Linked DNA regions of Arabidopsis thaliana. The gene in region 2 interacts genetically with the main gene of each other region. Each region holds a gene or a part of one and is shown on either strand. Other genes may lie near its edges.

The links.
Region 1: of WRKY36 (region 2) and UVR8, changing one suppresses a phenotype caused by changing the other (phenotypic suppression), as found in Arabidopsis thaliana (one study listed by BioGRID).

The regions. Positions count from the first base shown.
Region 1 is NC_003076.8:25,553,250-25,563,020, forward strand, and holds UVR8 (Regulator of chromosome condensation (RCC1) family protein), read right to left. Parts: upstream 6,251-9,771; 5' UTR 6,167-6,250; intron 5,736-6,166; 5' UTR 5,339-5,735; coding exon 5,245-5,338; intron 5,058-5,244; coding exon 4,871-5,057; intron 4,680-4,870; coding exon 4,533-4,679; intron 4,321-4,532; coding exon 4,239-4,320; intron 3,848-4,238; coding exon 3,692-3,847; intron 3,285-3,691; coding exon 3,111-3,284; intron 2,906-3,110; coding exon 2,834-2,905; intron 2,594-2,833; coding exon 2,522-2,593; intron 2,389-2,521; coding exon 2,270-2,388; intron 2,087-2,269; coding exon 2,001-2,086; intron 1,910-2,000; coding exon 1,857-1,909; intron 1,653-1,856; coding exon 1,572-1,652; 3' UTR 1,167-1,571; downstream 1-1,166. Other genes in the region: AAP4 (amino acid permease 4), read left to right, coding at 1-125; PP7 (serine/threonine phosphatase 7), read right to left, coding at 8,087-8,182, 8,273-8,380, 8,456-8,602, 8,691-9,185, 9,264-9,659. UniProt on the Arabidopsis thaliana protein: UV-B specific signaling component that acts as a UV-B photoreceptor and plays a key role in establishing UV-protective responses in plants.
Region 2 is NC_003070.9:26,274,790-26,282,612, forward strand, and holds WRKY36 (WRKY DNA-binding protein 36), read right to left. Parts: upstream 4,467-7,823; 5' UTR 4,328-4,466; coding exon 4,262-4,327; intron 4,083-4,261; exon of another isoform or gene 3,736-4,082; coding exon 3,199-3,735; intron 3,098-3,198; coding exon 2,984-3,097; intron 2,896-2,983; coding exon 2,449-2,895; 3' UTR 2,159-2,448; downstream 1-2,158. Other genes in the region: AT1G69800 (Cystathionine beta-synthase (CBS) protein), read right to left, coding at 1-163, 236-502, 582-1,024, 1,139-1,355, 1,489-1,536; AT1G69818 (Defensin-like (DEFL) family protein), read left to right, coding at 7,636-7,696. UniProt on the Arabidopsis thaliana protein: Transcription factor. Interacts specifically with the W box (5'-(T)TGAC[CT]-3'), a frequently occurring elicitor-responsive cis-acting element.

The DNA.
Region 1 (9,771 bases), on a different chromosome or scaffold from region 2:
AGTGGGTTTGTCTGCAGATGTTGAGCTGTGGTTGTTTGATGATCACGTTGGTCGCCGGAGTTGGCTCCATCGCCGGAGTAATGCTAGACCTTAAGGTTTACAAGCCGTTCAAGACTACTTACTAAACAAACCATGATGATGATGAAGAAGAAGAAGGTGGTGGAGAAAAAAACAAAAGATATAAATTTTAATATATTTCATTTGGGGAAATGTGAATAATGTAAAAGTTCTTCGTTTCGTATAATTTTTATCTTGCGTAATTTATATACATAATGTGTTCTCAATCTATAATTGATGTGGTGTTTATTGAAAGTTTGTTAACCAGATATGGATTTAAAGACAATAAACATACTAATAGATTTATGTAGAAAATGAATTATAGATTAACATAGATTTATGAAAAAAGGTTTTTTAAGAAAAAACAACTTGAACATAAGGTATAGTCCATTGCCGGAGTAATGCCATGAGATAATCGTAATGTATGAATAAGTGTATGTGAATATAAGAAGATTGGCGAAATGATATATGGAGTAATATTTACCCGAAATTAAAAAAGCAAGAAAGTGGTGGGAATGAAAGACTCGTGGATGAAACATCAAGAATCATTAGAAAGTTTGAAAGATGGCGACTTGGAACTGAAAAAGGTAATAACATGGAATCGAATCTAAGTGACATCGATTTGGAATAATTTAAGGGAAAGAAACCCGACACATAAAGAGAAACACTAAAAGAGCAATATGGATGGTTTTGCTTTAAAGAGAATCACCCACATAAGTTTTACCCAATAGAAAATTTTCACTAAACGCCAAATATATTAGGCAGCATAACTAGGTTGGCGGATGATGAAGGATCAATTTTTTTTCTTTTTGACATATCCATCACTTAGTCCATTAGAAATTCTTCGTATTCTAGACTCTTCGTATTGAGACTAGAATATATAGAAATACGAAACATGCATTGTGTGTTGGGCCTAAAGGCTAACCTACCCAAAAGTTGTAAACTAAAATACCCATACTACTCTCGTTCTCATCTGCGCTTCACACTTTGATAAAAAAGGAGAAGTTCAACTTGTTAATCTGTGATCACTGTTCTTCTTAAGTTTTGATCTTGATTGATAAAATTGTTTTTTTTTCCAAAATTCAAATACTCTAAAACTCAGCGGGTCACTATCAATCATATCATATTTGAATTCAAACATAGGCGGTAAAAAAATAAGACAAAAAGAAAATTCTCTTAAAACATAAGTTGTATAATGGTTGAAGGAAAAAACAGAAAACTTTTTAAGAAATGAAAGATATAGAACCAGAAGGTATTATTATGGTGAGGAAAAAAAAAGTACATACCCTAGAGACTAGTAGTAGTAGTACACACAGTTTACAACGCCCATGTAATAAGAGAGCTAGGGGGAGGGAAGCATCACAAGTTACAAACTAACAACAACAACAAAAAGTACAATCCCAAACTAGACAGACGTACTCTTAGTACAAACCTCAACCCAAAAGAGATCACTGAAAAACCTTCGAATCCAACGGAAGAACCGGAAGTAAAAAAAAAACGGAATTGACTCAGGCTCAAATTCGTACACGCTTGACATCAGTTTGTGGAACACTGATATCACCTCCATTACCTTTGCTTGAACCATCCGTTAGGCCCTAACACACAACCAAATTCAAAATCACACACATAGATTTCATCCTTGAAAACAATCCACGATCTTGACAGAGCAAGGTATAATTGTGCAGCAATGATTAATCAGTAAAATCTGGTTCTAAGCCGATATAATTGTGCCATTTGCTTTCATTGTAGTTTACGTATTGGATATAAAGTTTAGTAGAATTAACAAAATTAAGGCTTACCGTTTCATCAGGAACAACTGCATATCTCTCTGCAGGCGACACCCAGCTTTTCCCTGGTAACAAAGCAATGCAAAAGTTGAATCATTTAATCACTTGTTGAGTCGTTTACAGAAATCGTTTTAACTAGTGGTATTGTTTAAATACCTGAAGATGGATCGATATTAGAAGATTCTATATGTTGTCCACTTGCTCCATCGACGCTGAGTGCCTCTATAATCTTGGGAAAGTTCCTATAAACACCAAACCAAATATCCATTTCACATTATCAAGATAGGTAGTGAGTGGGATTGAAAAGCAATGATTTTGGTGGAAACAACGATCTTACTGGCCAATTTTCATATTCTGTTCGTAACACCAAGATATGTTAAGTGGAAAACATTGATTCATGAGCGATTAGATGATCACACTTTTACCTGTCAACCGACTCTCCAATGCCGAGCTGTCCATTTGTACCTCTACCCCAAGCAAACACGTTATTTCTTTCAGTGACAGCCAAGGTATGTCTCCATCCACATGAGACTTGAACTACTTTCTGTGAAATTCCACAATATGTGTGCATTGGAAAAGAAAACAGCGAATTGAGACATGAACTTATTAATATGATTATATAGCCGGTAAAACATTGGGACGAGCTTTCTCGTTAAACTTTTTTAGGGATAACATGCCTGATCATCGGGAAATCGCACTTGCACAGGAGAACACTGATCTAAATTATTGCCGACTCCTACTTGTCCAAACTGCAGGCTAAAAGAGAGACAATTAGAAGTTTGTTTTATTCAAGATGAGTTACTAAAGTTACCCAATATATGCATTGTTGTTTTCTTAAAATAACATCTAAGTGAATGCATATCACTCCTTAACAGCATAAAGCAACTAAATGCAAATATCAGTGAATGTGTAGATGAAAATAGGTGTTCTATACATTTCTACGAAATATAGGCCAGAAAAAAAAAAAAAAAAAGCAAGACATTCTAGACCTTATTCCAACCCCATCCATATAGTTTTCCATCTGAAGTCAATGCCATTGTATGTCTCCAACCTCCCGAAATCTGGAAAAGAAACGAACAGTAAGTCCAAAAGATGTCGAACAGAAGAAGAAAACCAACAGAAGTACATACAATGAAGCCAGTCTTCTTCAGTAGGTAATAGTTGTCAGAAAGTTTTCGAAAAACATATTATTGCTATCCCATATGTTGGATATTTCAGATGTACAAATTTGTATTTCAAGACAGATTTATAAGGCCTAAGTGAAACCTGGGAGATAAAACTGTTGCTCAGTGCTTCCAGTTTGTGAGGAATAAGGTGATCCTCCAAGTCTCCATGTCCTAGCTGTCCATATTTGCTCCATCCATAAGTATACAATGCTCCAGAGTAGGAAACTGATATTGTGTGCCGCCATCCACAAGCAACCATTGACATTTTCTCACCCTAAAATTGTAGTTACAACCAGGAAAACGAGAGTCAAGTGAGTCGAAATGAAAAGAGAATTAAGGAAAAAATTGAGGGACTAAAATGCAGAAATAGAAGTTGGTAAAAAGGTGAGGTTGCGTGATATCAATGTTATATGAACTAAATTTCATTTCATGAACTGTGCAGATTCAGGATACCAAACTTTGATCATTCTAAAAGTTTTATGGTCACTTCCCTGACACCCACCAACTGAAATTAGACTGCATATACGTGTGACTCCATCAATATAGACAGCTAATCCAGAATAGTGCAGTGCATATTGAGCTATTCACGATTTCTTTCACGTATACTGAACTTCAAATGCAAGTTTAAACAAGTAGCAGGTGCTTAAACAAAAATTATAGAACAAGAGTCTTCTAGCTTACACCAGTAGAGGTAACTCTTTCAGGAACTAAGCGGTCAGTCCGGTCACCTAATCCCAAATTTCCGTATCTTCCCCAGCCCCATCCATAGAGGTCACCATCTTCTGTAACTGCAGCAGTGTGTTCTGCACCAGCAGCAACCATTTTGATTCGTATTCCCTGCACCCATTACAAGTTTAAAGTGTTGATGTAACAATGGAGATCAGCGAAACTAACAACATAAACTCAGGGTCTCTAATCACTTAATCTTCTAGTTTACCTAGTCCGATAAATTATCAATAAGATCCTACCTTCTATCTGTGTTTTGCAGATAGTATAACACATAGACATCCAATTTAGTATCTACCACTCCTAAAATTATGTAACTTAAATTATGATTCTGAAGACATCTTCACCAGATGTGGACCCTTAACTAGTAACAGTCATATGTTTAAGAAGATCAAGTTGCAGAAATAGACCCAACATTGACCCAATTCTGAAGCATAGTATTTGGCAAGTTGAGGAAACTACAACGAAAAAAGATGTTAGAAGAATATTTAGTGATACAAACCTCAAAGGCTTGAATCTTCTGAGGCACTAGAGAATCTTCGGTGTCCCCCAGACCAAGTTGACCATTCTGGTTGCGGCCCCAACTGTATAAACAGAAGTCAAAGAGATATGTTGGAAAACAAGACAAGACAGACAAAACGTTTAAAAGGCAATGTACACAATAACCAAGATATATAGAAATGACACAGGACGCAATCGACATTATCAAATTCCGATGAAATTCATCTAATTGAGCTGAGATGTAAACTGTAAATGATTGCACATAAGGAGAAGAACAATAACAAAGAGAAAATACCTCTGGACCTCTCCTTCCATAGTGACAGCCAAACAATGACTATCCCCACAAGCAATCTGCTTGATCCGAATACCGTGCAATGCTTTGATTGGTAGCGGAGTAAACAAGTCGCTTGAGTTACCATGGCCTAATCTCCCAAAATCACCCCTGCAAAGTACACATAAAGGTTAGAGAACACGAGGCTTAAAATATGTGCAAATGAGTGTATAATTAGTTACTGTTTTCTACACAAAAATCTAGAGAGGAACTAGTGGTCATCATCTCATCCCGAATATATCAAACAGACTGAAGAGCAATTGATTCAGCAGCAAAGAAGAAGATAATGATGAGAAACAAACCATCCCCAACTGTAGACTTCCATGCCTGATTGTGAATAAGCAACAGTGTGATCAGCACCACAGGTAACGGAAACAATTTGGTGGCCATCTAAAGCGCTAAGCTGAGTCGGAGAAGGTCGATCCTCTGCATCGCCATGACCTAACTGTCCATCCTCTCCTCGACCCCAAGAACAAACAATGTCACCAGCTACAAAATCAAAACATAAAACTACTCATTAGTAGACGACGAAAGTAAGGGAAACTCGATTAAAGGCCAGATCAAGAGAATTCGCGAAGAGCACAGCCTACTAAAGCAGCGGATTTCACAATTCCGGTGATTATTTGAGTCCGTAATAGAAAAGGAAAAAAAACAGCGAAGAAGAAGAGAGACGTACAGAGAAGAGCGACGGAGTGGCTAGCACCAGCGGAGATGATAAGAACCTTACGAGGAGGAGCCGTAACTTCGTCGGCAGCCATATCCTCCGCCATGGATCACAGTTGCAGTTTTCACAAGATATTTTTTTTGGGGAGAAATGAATTTTGAAAAAAGTAAGAAATTTCTATTTTTTGATAAATTGGGAAATTTTGTAGCTTCTCTTTCACTATCCGTAATCTCTCGAGGGTTGAACAAGGAAAGACAGAGAGAGAAAGCGGTAGATGGTAATAAAGGCGCGATGGAGATTTGCACATGTCATATATCTGCTTTTTGACTTTTTTACTTTTGCTGGTTTTTTTATTTTTTGTTTTAACCGTACAGTAAATCTCTTTTTTGTCGTACAGGCTTTAATTGCAAAAGGGTCCCTCTTCACTTAATAAATCCAAATACGGACCTCACCGGTAAAGTTTTATACTTTCATAATTTCACCATTTCTTTTTTTTTTTGTTTCTTGACCATTTCATTTACCTCTTCACATAAGTAGATTTAAGCCAGTACACATGACATTCTAGATCGTAACTTGTGTTTTATGTGTTCATCATTCACAGGTGTAAGGCGCATAGATCGTAAGAGCCTAATCATATGTTTTTAGTCATGCACACGTGTGAAAGTATACACGTTAGTCAAAAAAAATTCTGAGTTTCATAGTCCAAAGTGACATATCCAATTTGTCTTTTTAGTTATAAATATTCAGTTCAGCTATTTTAGTTTTTCAAAGAGGTCAAATTAAACCTGGATTACAATATGGTGTACAGTTTGTCTTTTTATTATGATTCTGATTATCATATGAAGATACGTCTTGCTACATGTTATTTTATTCAATTATTCAAAATGCATGGTTCTACATATGGAAATATACAGATATACGGTCTACTTACAACTTGATTTTTTTTTTTTTTGTTAAATTACAACTTGAAGATTCTACTATCAACAAAACAAAAACAAAAAAAAATCTTCTATCGATCGAGCGAGATATTCAAATCAAAATACATGGTCAACAGGTCAACTATAGATTCAAAATATATGAATACCTAAATATTCAAATTAAGATATATCAATTCACGATCTAAAACATCCAAATATAGATTTTGCGAAAACGGCCAAAGAAATTATACATAACGGATAAAAATAAATAAAAAATTACATACGGATACTACTTAGTAGTACTTACTAGATTACCTAAAACCCATAATCTTACATATACATATGGATAAAGGTAACATCGATGAATTACTTGTTTCATCCGATCTGGAACGAATATATCACCTCGCTCGACCTAACATTTATGTGAAACTAAAAGGTTGTTTACATTGAGATAAAACCAACATTATATGCTTGTCAGTGAGGGAAGTTGTGACATCTATTATAGTAAGAAAATTAAATGAATGAAGATATTTTTGCATTGCCTGATACATGCATTATATGTATTGTCCAATTTTGGCATTAAAGTCAACGAGACAAAACTCTAGATCAAGATGGTCTCTAATGTTGACATTTGTTGCGACCTCTTTCAAATGGGTTCATCTCATCATTCATCACACAAATTTGTTGCATTATCTTTTATAATCTTGTTAAATAAACATCATTACGAACAATTTGTGGAAAAATGGAAATTATATGAAAGCCATTGGAAGTACTATATACAATTTAATGCACATGACTTCAACAGAAAATACTAGAGAGACAAGATAAGACACCTATAATAATTTAAGCTTGACATGAAGTGCTAAACAATTACTGTTTAGAGACATATATGCACATGAAACTAGGAAAGAAAAAACATTGCGGTGAGTACATGTCAATGATTGTCGATGAACAAATTACAAAACAGTAAAAATCAACACCCACCCACATGGGTTCCGGTATAAGGGTCAAGTTTGGCGATAACACAAATTTTAGGGTTTGCAAAAATGTTGTAACCATAATCGGTGATGAAATATGGAAGATCATGTGAATATTTAGATGATGAAACTATTTGGCTGAAAAGACAGTTAACTTTAAGCTTTATTACTTGAGATGCCCCGTGACAGACAACGAATGACCTTGGAGAGAATCACACAGATGATGCTAGAGGTAGCTTTAATGTGTTATATTTGCGAATGAAGATGCTTCACGCTCCTGTCGAATTCTTCTCTCTTTAGAGAAAGAACAGACCATTATTAGTTTAGCCCACTCAAGAGAAAAAACCGAAAACAATTGCAATAAATGCTTCAAAGTGCAATAAGGAACCATAAGATAGTTAGCATCAACCTCCACTTCATACTGTCTTTTACAAGAAGACATACATTCATCTGAACAAATTGCTACCAAATTCGGCATTTAATAAGCTGTCTCGTTACTTAGGATTTTCATAACCACACAATTTTTTGTTGGATAAGATTCTAGTAATGTGTCAATATTTCAAAGGAAAACTATAATGCCGACAGACACATAACTTGATCCACAAACTTCCATTGGACTAATCTACTACTCGATTTATCATTCAGTTAAAAGCAATTCTATACAATGAAAGTTACTGCAAGTTTGACCTCTCAAGATTTAGGCTAACCTGACAAAACAGAGCAAAATCTTACAAGATTTAGGTTTAAATAAGACGTGTAGGAACCAAGAAACTAAGAACTACATGAGATTTAAGATGGTTCTTATTTCTTCATCTTCCATACATAACTTAAATGTGAATTCTACAAATGATTTTCTTCATCTCTTTTCTTTACATTTGATTCCATTTTATGTTTGCAAATAATGAGCAATCACAACAACTGTAAAAAACATCAATTCAAGATACTCCTTTTCAGCTTCGGTCAGCTATTTGGTTGTTCGTTATTGGTGTCCATTGCTGACTTATCCATCTCATCATCAGAATCAATGACATTTTCAAAGTCATAATATGGATGCGCCTGCACATTTAAAAACCGATGTCGCTATGTATGTGTATCAAAGAAGTAAAACAACTCGTTGGTTCATTATCAGCATCGTAAGTTAGTTACCTTTGGTCGCGGTTTAACAGCTTCGAAACTATGAAATTGAGGATCCGAGAAATCAGGCGCCTGCAAAATAATATATGCTCCTTTGTTTTTGTACCTCTCTTCTGTTGCCTACACCACACACAAAAATGATTGTTAACGCATATCTTTAGAAAATGCAAATACCAAAGGCGTAAAAATACATACTTGGAATTGCGGATAGTCAGGTGCACTGAAAATAGTGATAAGCTTTCCGGATTCGACATTGTGGTCTATTGTATATCCATTGTCCATTCCACCAAGACCAGTTCTCTTCTCTCTAGCATCTGGACCTTCATGTGATCTGATGATCAACTGCACCAATAAGTGTAAAACATTTGATCCAATCATCCATATCAGTATTTGGGAAGCAAACAAGCATCAATATCTACTTTGGTGTCACCTTCAGTTCATATTTCTTCAAAAAATCCTCTGTACAATCGGGACCCCAAAGAAGACCAATGCCTCTCTGTTCATTTGGTGAAAGGCCCGGAGTCATTGAAGGATCAGACCATAAAACGTCTCCTGGTATCAAGTTTGAACCTTCCCAAGGAGGATCAAGAACTGATCTTCGAGCTTGCATCAACTCATCTAAGGTACCGAGTTTCATTGAGCTCGGCTCAGGTTCCAGAAGAACTACCCGACGGTTCTTTTTCCCCCTTGTTGTTCGCTTAGGCAAGACTGGGCTGCGGAAAAGCCCTCCATGTGCTGTATAAACACGTCCAGAAATTATGGAAGCCAAAGGAAGACCTTCAAAGCAACCCAAACATTTCCGGTACACATGTTTTCCCTTGTCTCCGTATTTTGTAAGCACTTCCTTCTCGAAACCATACATAGATGTACAATACTTTGACTCATGATTACCACGGAGTAGGTAGACTCTGTCCGGCATCAAAACCTAAACAACCAAAAAGATATGTGCTTTAAGAATACTAAGACTTGAGCCAATAGTAAAACAGCTTAGTAAAGAGTTTACCTTCCAGGACAAGAGAACAAGGAAGGTTTCAAGTCCCCAAGCACCGCGATCCACATAGTCTCCGTTGAAAACATAACACCGGTTTTGACAAGGAAAGCCAGTATCTTTCAATAGGAAAAGAAGGTCATGAAGCTGACCATGAATGTCACCAACCACAACAACGTTGGATACAGAGTCAAGATCATCGATATGAACGCAGTTACGTTCTTTGTGGAGGATTTTATGAGCGGTGAGGACGAGGGAATCAAAGACGTTGACAGGCAATAGTGAAGGTAACTGGGAAGGAGGTAGATTCCATGAAGACCATTCGAAACACGACATAAGCCCATGTACCCAGTCGTTAGTGAGAGCTCCCCCATCTGGCCATGTAATGGGAGATGGTGGAACAGTTTCCATTAAAACTGTAAAAACACTAATCTATAATCAATTCCAGAGTATGAACATGTGAAACAAGAGTATCAAGCAATCGAAACATAGACAAAGTTTTCAAATTTCAGCGATCAAAGCC
Region 2 (7,823 bases):
AAAAGACTTCAGGTTGTAAAAGCAAATATCTAATGTCTCTCATGCTAATGTTACCAACAATCTTCTTATTCAACCCTTCAACTACAGGGAGACCACCAATGTTGTTGTCTCTCATCCTTTTAAATGCTTCAAGGATAAGTTCCTCACTCTCAATGCTAATAACCTGAAACCAACATGTTCAATTTCACCGGTTTACGAGCCTAATGTCATGACTTCTTAAAGTTTATTTTATTACCTCATTGGGTGACATAAACGGGAGGCCGAGATCAGAAATCGGGAGAGCGGAAATGTGATCAAACCAATCTCTACCTTTGCAACCTTCAAGACCATGAACAACTGCAGATTGAGTAACGTAGTTCTTGATATCCGGTTCTCCTGTTTTAATAACCGGCACATTTCTTAACCGATATTTCGAGAGTAACAACATAACACTCAACATCGAACTCTCTGTTGAAACCGGAAGAAAAGGAGCCCATCTAAACGACTTAAGTATTGTTCTAACCTGACAACATAAACATATATCCATGATCAATCAGGACCATCACAACACAAATAACTTAATGTTCTGTTAAAAAACTTACAGTGGTTGATTTAAAAGGCTCTTCTTGAAGAATAACTTCATAGAAATCTTTCCCCAACTTATCAGCAGCAGTTGGAGCATCTTTTCCAATCCCACGTTCAGCTGCAACACCACCAGCAACCGCGGCTCCAACCGCAGCTGCGGCTAGCCCCGCAGCAGCAACCGGACCGGTCATCCCGAGCGCTGCAACACCAAGAGCTCCAACAGCTCCAGCACCAACACCAGCAGCAGTTGCTGACGTAGCGGACAACGCGATTGCAGCGAGTTCAGCACTCTCTAGCACCCATAAGATGATTGAAGAGTAGTCAATGATTCCTAAATATCTTTCTCTCCAATCTAAAGAACTCTCGTGATCTGTGTTAATCACAGGAGCTGATAGAATCTTGCTATCTGATAAGATCTTTACTGCTTCTGATACAGGTGTTTCCGCTTGAATCTCTATCACTACGATCAAACAAAACACTAATTGAATCTAAACCATTGCCAAGTCTCAAACTTTAAACGAGAAATCAGGAAATTTGGAGGAATCGAAAAAAATGGGATCTTTCTAATTTTTACCTCTGCCGCCGGGGACTTGAGGGAAGGAGGAGACTGGGATTCCGGCGAAAGCAGAGTTTAGGGTTTCTTGAAGAGATTTGGGTAGATTCTTCCTTGATTGTACTTTCTCGAAATACGCTTCACAGCTTGAAACCGCCGATTTTATCTCCTTATCTTCTACCGCTTCACTTCCCGCCATGTCTTGATACCGGCTCAATTTGAAGAATTTCAAACAAATCTACGATGATTTTAGATTGGAAACGATGAAACCCAGAAGAAAAAAAGAGAGCTTTTTTGGTTAAGGAAAAAAAAAAGAGAGAATTTAGAACAGTGGTGAGTGTGGTCGGATAAGCAACGTGTCGGAGATGGACCTTTGGTTTCGCTTTTCTGGCGGTTACGCGCGTCCTGATGAAGTGCATTGACACGTGACGTTATAATAAGTGGTCGTGTGTCAAAAGAGTTTAACAGCGTTATAACCGGAGTCGCTGACGTGGATGGGCCGAATTCTAAGATAGAAAACGGTAGTAACGGGCCTGAGCCCAAGATTGATTTAAAAGTAATATCTGATGGATCATAGTTTCATACGTTTTCTTTCTTTTGGTCATTTTGTTTTCTTTCCTTTTTAAGAATCGACCATCTAAACATTTAGGTGGCTCAAACAATTCAGACATCTTCATTTCGGTCAAATTCATCACAAATTTATATTTGATAATTGAGGGAAGTAAAATAATCAATTCTTTTATGTAAATAATTTTAATGGTGACTACAATTTTGACCATCAAATTAGTAAATGTCTGTAGCAAAAAATAATAATAATCAAATTAGTAAACAATACGTATGTGATTTCAAATAATAATACGTTGTGTTGATAATTTGTCAAATAACCCACTATTTTATGTGATGCTAACTAAAGTTTATTTTGTAAAAATCAAACAATTTTGCAAAAGTGAAAGAGGGAGATTTTGTCAATCTGCATGAAAACCACCTTCCATTTTAGATATCATTGTGTCATCATAGTCATACTTACTTAATTCACCAACAAAAAAAATTAACATTGTATTTAAAATTTTTATAAGCATAAAAAAATATTTGGTGTATCAAATTTGTGTAGACCATTAATTTACAAAACCTTCATATACATATATAATCCATGATATGATAGGTAATCCACTAATTTAAACATTTGGATATCTACAAGTATATAAGCATTTTGCATATCATGCCAAAACCAGATCTCTCTTTCAGAGGCTGAAAAACAAATGAATGACAAAGAAAACGGAAATCAGTTACTTTCTAGACTTGTGTCTAGCTATACCGATACAGTTACTGGCTTATTGCTGTCCGGAAAGTCTCGTTCGATAACGGGCCAATAATGAATCTGTACTCAACGGAGCTTGTGTTCGCAAGCCACTAAAGTTCAAGGTGTGGTCATGCGATGATGGAGGTGGAGGATCTGGAGAGGAAAAGTTGAGACTGAAAGAGGAGGACGATAGAGGGTAGTCGTCTGGTAACTGATTGGGATAGTTTGGTCGTGTGAGGTCCAATGTTACAGTCGGGTGCGAGTTAGTGGTGGAGATAGAGAAGTGGTGAAAAGGGAAGAAATAGCTTAGACTCGCTGAGGTGGAGGAGGAGGAAGAGGAGGAGCCAGATTGTAATAAGGAGGCAGCCGCGGAAGTTCCAGCTGCCATGTGGCTTGCTTCCATGGGGAGAGGATGGTCATGGTTTCCTTCGTACGTTGTCATAAAAGCGGAGGTTTCTTCTTCTCCACATCTTTGCACCTATAGACATTCGTTTTAAAAGTTTTTACTCAAAACCAATTGTTAATAAACAGATATTTGGATTGAGAAATTATAGAATGTATTATACCTGTTTTCTAACGGGACAATTTGACGACATGGAGCAACGGTAATAGGCTCGTGGGAGAGGATTGGTTTTCGCAGTCTTTTGACCATATTTCCTCCACTGGCAACCGTCGTTTATCTATATATATTCATGTAACGTGTATATGATCAAATAATTAAATTAGATGTGAAATGGTAAATAAACACATATATGTAATGTATGGTTTTGATGGTACGTACTGATGGGTCTTCACATGATGCTTTAACACAAACCCTAGTTTTCTTCAAACCTGTTTGTTCATGCTCCTCCAAAACATCTTGATGGTTTTCATTTCTAACTGATTTGACATCTTTCCTCGAAGATACACATTTATTTTCAGCGTTTGCAAGCTTAACCTGCCTACAAAGATCATCTAGTTTCGAGGCTTCATAGCTTTGAATCTGAAATCCAAAACCCAGTGCAGATCTTTTATCTTTTGACTCCTCTACGTTCTTAGTAGAAATCTTGTCCACCTTATTTTCCTCCTTTTTAGAGATCTTTTGCTCTGATCTTCCAAGCCTAAGTGATATATCCACATCATAGTCGTTATTTTCATCTTGACGATCAATGTGGTCTAGCTCCATAGACGAAGCTCCTTGTTGTTGTCCGAGAACTTTAGAGACTTGCATTTGAAGAGAGTTGTAATTATTAAGAATCGTAGAGAGTAAGAGCTTTAATTTCTCATTTTCTTCCCGAACTTTCTCCACCTTTGCTTTTGTTGCATCAAGCTCCTCTTCCTGTAATATCCAAGACACATTTATATTCACTTTTTATCTAAAAACTGTTTGGACCTATCTTCTAAACTTCTACGATAAATAGTTCTCAATACACACAAAGTAAATAGTATTATAAAAGTGAACATGATCGAATGCCAATAAAGAAAAAAAGAAAAAAAATGGATCGATCCGACCTATATTAATTAGAGCGGATCTTAATTATAAATGTTTTCATCCGAAGTTTTCTAAATACCGGAAAATCTTGGTATCCTTGAGCATTAAATAACCGTCCCAAAAAAAATAATGAACTTTCGATACTCGAGACCATTTCCGAACAAGCAAGTTGACTTTTATCAGATGCAGTAAAACTGTATTAATTTCAGACATAAGAATTATATGGTAACTATATGTAAATATATAACAGAATCATATGATCATGAGATTAATTCTAACCGATTGAAACACCAGAAGGAGATTGAAAATAAAACAAGAATTAGAGAAATTTGTGGTTTAAACGGTTAAATCGAGAAATAGTGTTTTGTTTTACCTTGTCAGATTCTGCCATAACACCATCGAAAGTTTGGAAGTATGAAACGGTCTCCTCTTTGATCATGCTATTATATGATTCAGATGCGATCTTGAGATCAACTGGATCTGCTCTTTTTGTTTTTCTTCTTTACATCAAAAAAAAAATTATTGTCGTTTTCTTTTGCCTAACTAGGTTTTTATAGGAAGGGACCCAAAGCCAACAGACTTTGACTTCGCATTTTAATAAGAAGATATACAGACTAAAAATATTGTTTATAATGGTAATCACCACCACCATGTTACCAGCTTCGTCTCTATTCTTGAATAATCTCAACCAGACGACTCAGCATTATATAATAAGATAATGCCAATCATATAAATAATATCAAATTGTATTGCAATCCAGATGGATCTGGTCTGAACACTACTTCGGAATATTTCGTTTTTTTTTTGTTAATTGGCATCATAATTAAAGCATAGTAGTTGACATTGAGGCAACTAAAACAAGTTTTTTCTTTCTTTCTTTCGTCTGTACCGGAGTACCGGAGTACCAGATCATACTAGTTCTTCGCTAACATAAAGCTGTATGCATGGGAAACAAAAGCTGAGAGAGAAAAAAAACAATATTTTCTCTCTTTTTTCTTAGACCTAATATATGTCAAAAATTAATCCACAATCATTCTTTATAGGCAGTTCAGGGGTGAATGTATTTTTTGTGATATATTTGTATGTTTACTAGCTAGTTTTTAGATAAATTTTCTTTAACATTTAACGATATCTATTAAATATAAGAAATTTATATGTATCTTTAATCCTATAAAAATACACATATACTGTATACGCATAAATTTATGATCGGAACAAATATTCTAATTTTTTTTATTTATGTGCTATATTTTGATCTTTTTCAAATTGAATAAAGCAATCTATTTATCCAGCGTTAATCACTAACGGACACCGCATGAAATGAGTGCATTTTGTAAAAGAAACTTTCAGCTGTAAAACGCATTTTGTTCTCTGATCCAATGAAAAAATGACACATCATCGATCTGCAGCTACTTAATTACGTTGACCAGTTGGCAGAGTTGATTAAGTTTATGTTAGTCTTAAATTGCTAATTAATAGACACTGCATGAATTTTATAATGTTATAAAATTATAAGAATTTCATAATGAAAAGTTTATGAAATGTTAATTTATGACTAATGCAAGAACTTTCTATTTGGAAACGTAAGTTAAGGGGTTTATTAAAGAATAGTACAATATTAGAAAGGCTGCTTTATTGAATGATAATACAAACAACGAATGGTCATTTTATATTAGTTGAATACTTTATCGAATAACTTTTCTTTTTGGTGAAGATCAAACAGAGCTTTTTTCATCTTCACACGCATCAATGAGATCATAAGAAACCGAGCAGTACTTTTTTCAATCATAGAATACAATTATAACAAGCTATATCATGCAACTCAAAGTTTCTCCAGACTGGTCTCTTGTTCGACTCCTAAAATTCATCTTCCACAATCCGAGTGGGTTTACACCGTCGGCTTCAAGATTTTAACTAGGATGGACTTCCTTAGAAACTACATTTGCTTCTTTTAGTGTGTTAACCAGAAAAAAAAAAGATTTTCAACTAAAACTGAGACAATTAGGATTCCGAATACAATTTACATTGTTTGGGGATATTTCTTATAGCTCCACACAAACTTTTATTTTGAACTTATACTCCATCATCGTTAGACGATTTCGTCAAATCTCGTCTTAAACCTGAATCATTTGTCTATGGAAGTAATTTTATTTATTGTTTTAATATATTCGTAACGAGCAGCTAAATCACTAATACAGACATATATAAGGATTTTATAATTAAAGATTCTTCTGAAATTATCCTATTTCAAATAAAGTATACTTTTTAGATTAAACATTTAAATTTATATCCGAAATGTCATTGTAAATTAATAATATTCGATTTCGTGGCCTTGAAGTCGACCAATAATAAGGAGAGAAAGGAGCGCAGGATCCGGTTTTATTTCTACCATATATACGATGTCATTCCAATCTAGTGGTATTATAATAATCTAGATAGTTGAAATATTTATAATTTTAAAAATGCAAAAAATAATTTTTTATTACACAATAATGATATTATAGTCAATGATCTCTTACATCGTGCTCCAGAATCCATCGCATAATTTAAACTGTATCGTAATGGCTAAGTCAAATTTTGGTTATTTAATGTTGCATATTACTTTTATTTTTATTTTTGTGACATTGTTGCATATTACTATCATCTCGCAAGTCACACTTTACCAAAAAATTTAATCTCACAAGTCACAAGTGTTCTTTCAAAAACGGATCCGATCGGCTTATAATATTGGTCGAAACACGAACGGACCAACCCGGACGGGTTGAATCTTAAATTATCAAAAATGATGCGGAAAAGCACAATTTTTTTTTATTTCAAGGCTCTTTAGTTCTCATTTGTCGTCACAAGAATTCAAAGAAAAAAATTACATCTTGTTTAAAAGGTGTTTTATTGAATGTGTGTACATCCGAAAGTCGCTCATTGGCAAGGTTGGTGCAGCTTGATGAATGATTCGGACTTTGACCAAGAAAGAGTTGGCTCCATGTATCTCGATTGTTGTTAAGTGTTGATGGGCCGTATGTTTTTGTTAATGAACTGTCGCATTATGTTGTTATCTTTTACTTGATGGGCTTTATACTTTTGAATGAACATATTCATATGGTCTGAACACAAATAATTACTTTTCTACCCTAGATATAGTTACTGATTTATTCATCTTTTTTCATTTTGATAACATCACGGCAGTTTTTTCCTCAGATTCTCTATTTTTATTTTTGGGAAATTTATGTTAGAGTGTAGAGATATTACTTTTTCATGTTTGGGATATTTAAAAGGGAGAAATTTTTTTTACTGTAAGTTAAGATATTTTTTTTTTCTGTGTGGCCTAATCAAATGACAACATGGAAATGCTTCACATTCAAAGATTCAATGTATGCCCTTCTTTAGGAAAATACAAATTTCAGGACTCCCATTAACCAAAGGTTTGTGCACACTTCAAATAGTCAAACATGACAAGACAGTCATGCAAAAATTATGGTAATACTTGGCCAAAAATGTTACTTTTAGATATATTTTTCCATTTTTTTGTTTAACAATCAAAGCAAATCAGATATTTCTATTTGCTGTAAAAATATCCCTATTTCTCTAAGGAAAATATCTATAAAGATTTGAAAATGTATCAACAATGTATAACCCAAGAAACTCTTCTAAACATATATATTTGGGGGCTGACAAACTCTCCTTGTTTAAATTCATATATATTTTCTAAGGAAAAAACTTCATCAAAAAAAAAGAAAAGAAAGAAGATAAATGGCGTCTAACAAAGTCTCATTCTTCTTGGTTCTTTGCCTTTGTGTTCTCTCAACAGCAGGTAATTTATATCTTTGACATACATTTTCCTTTTGATAACTTTTCAATTTTATTTATAACTAATTTCTGTTAATTAAGATTTAGTTTATTAATCTTTATCTTGAATTAATCATAATATACATTTAACT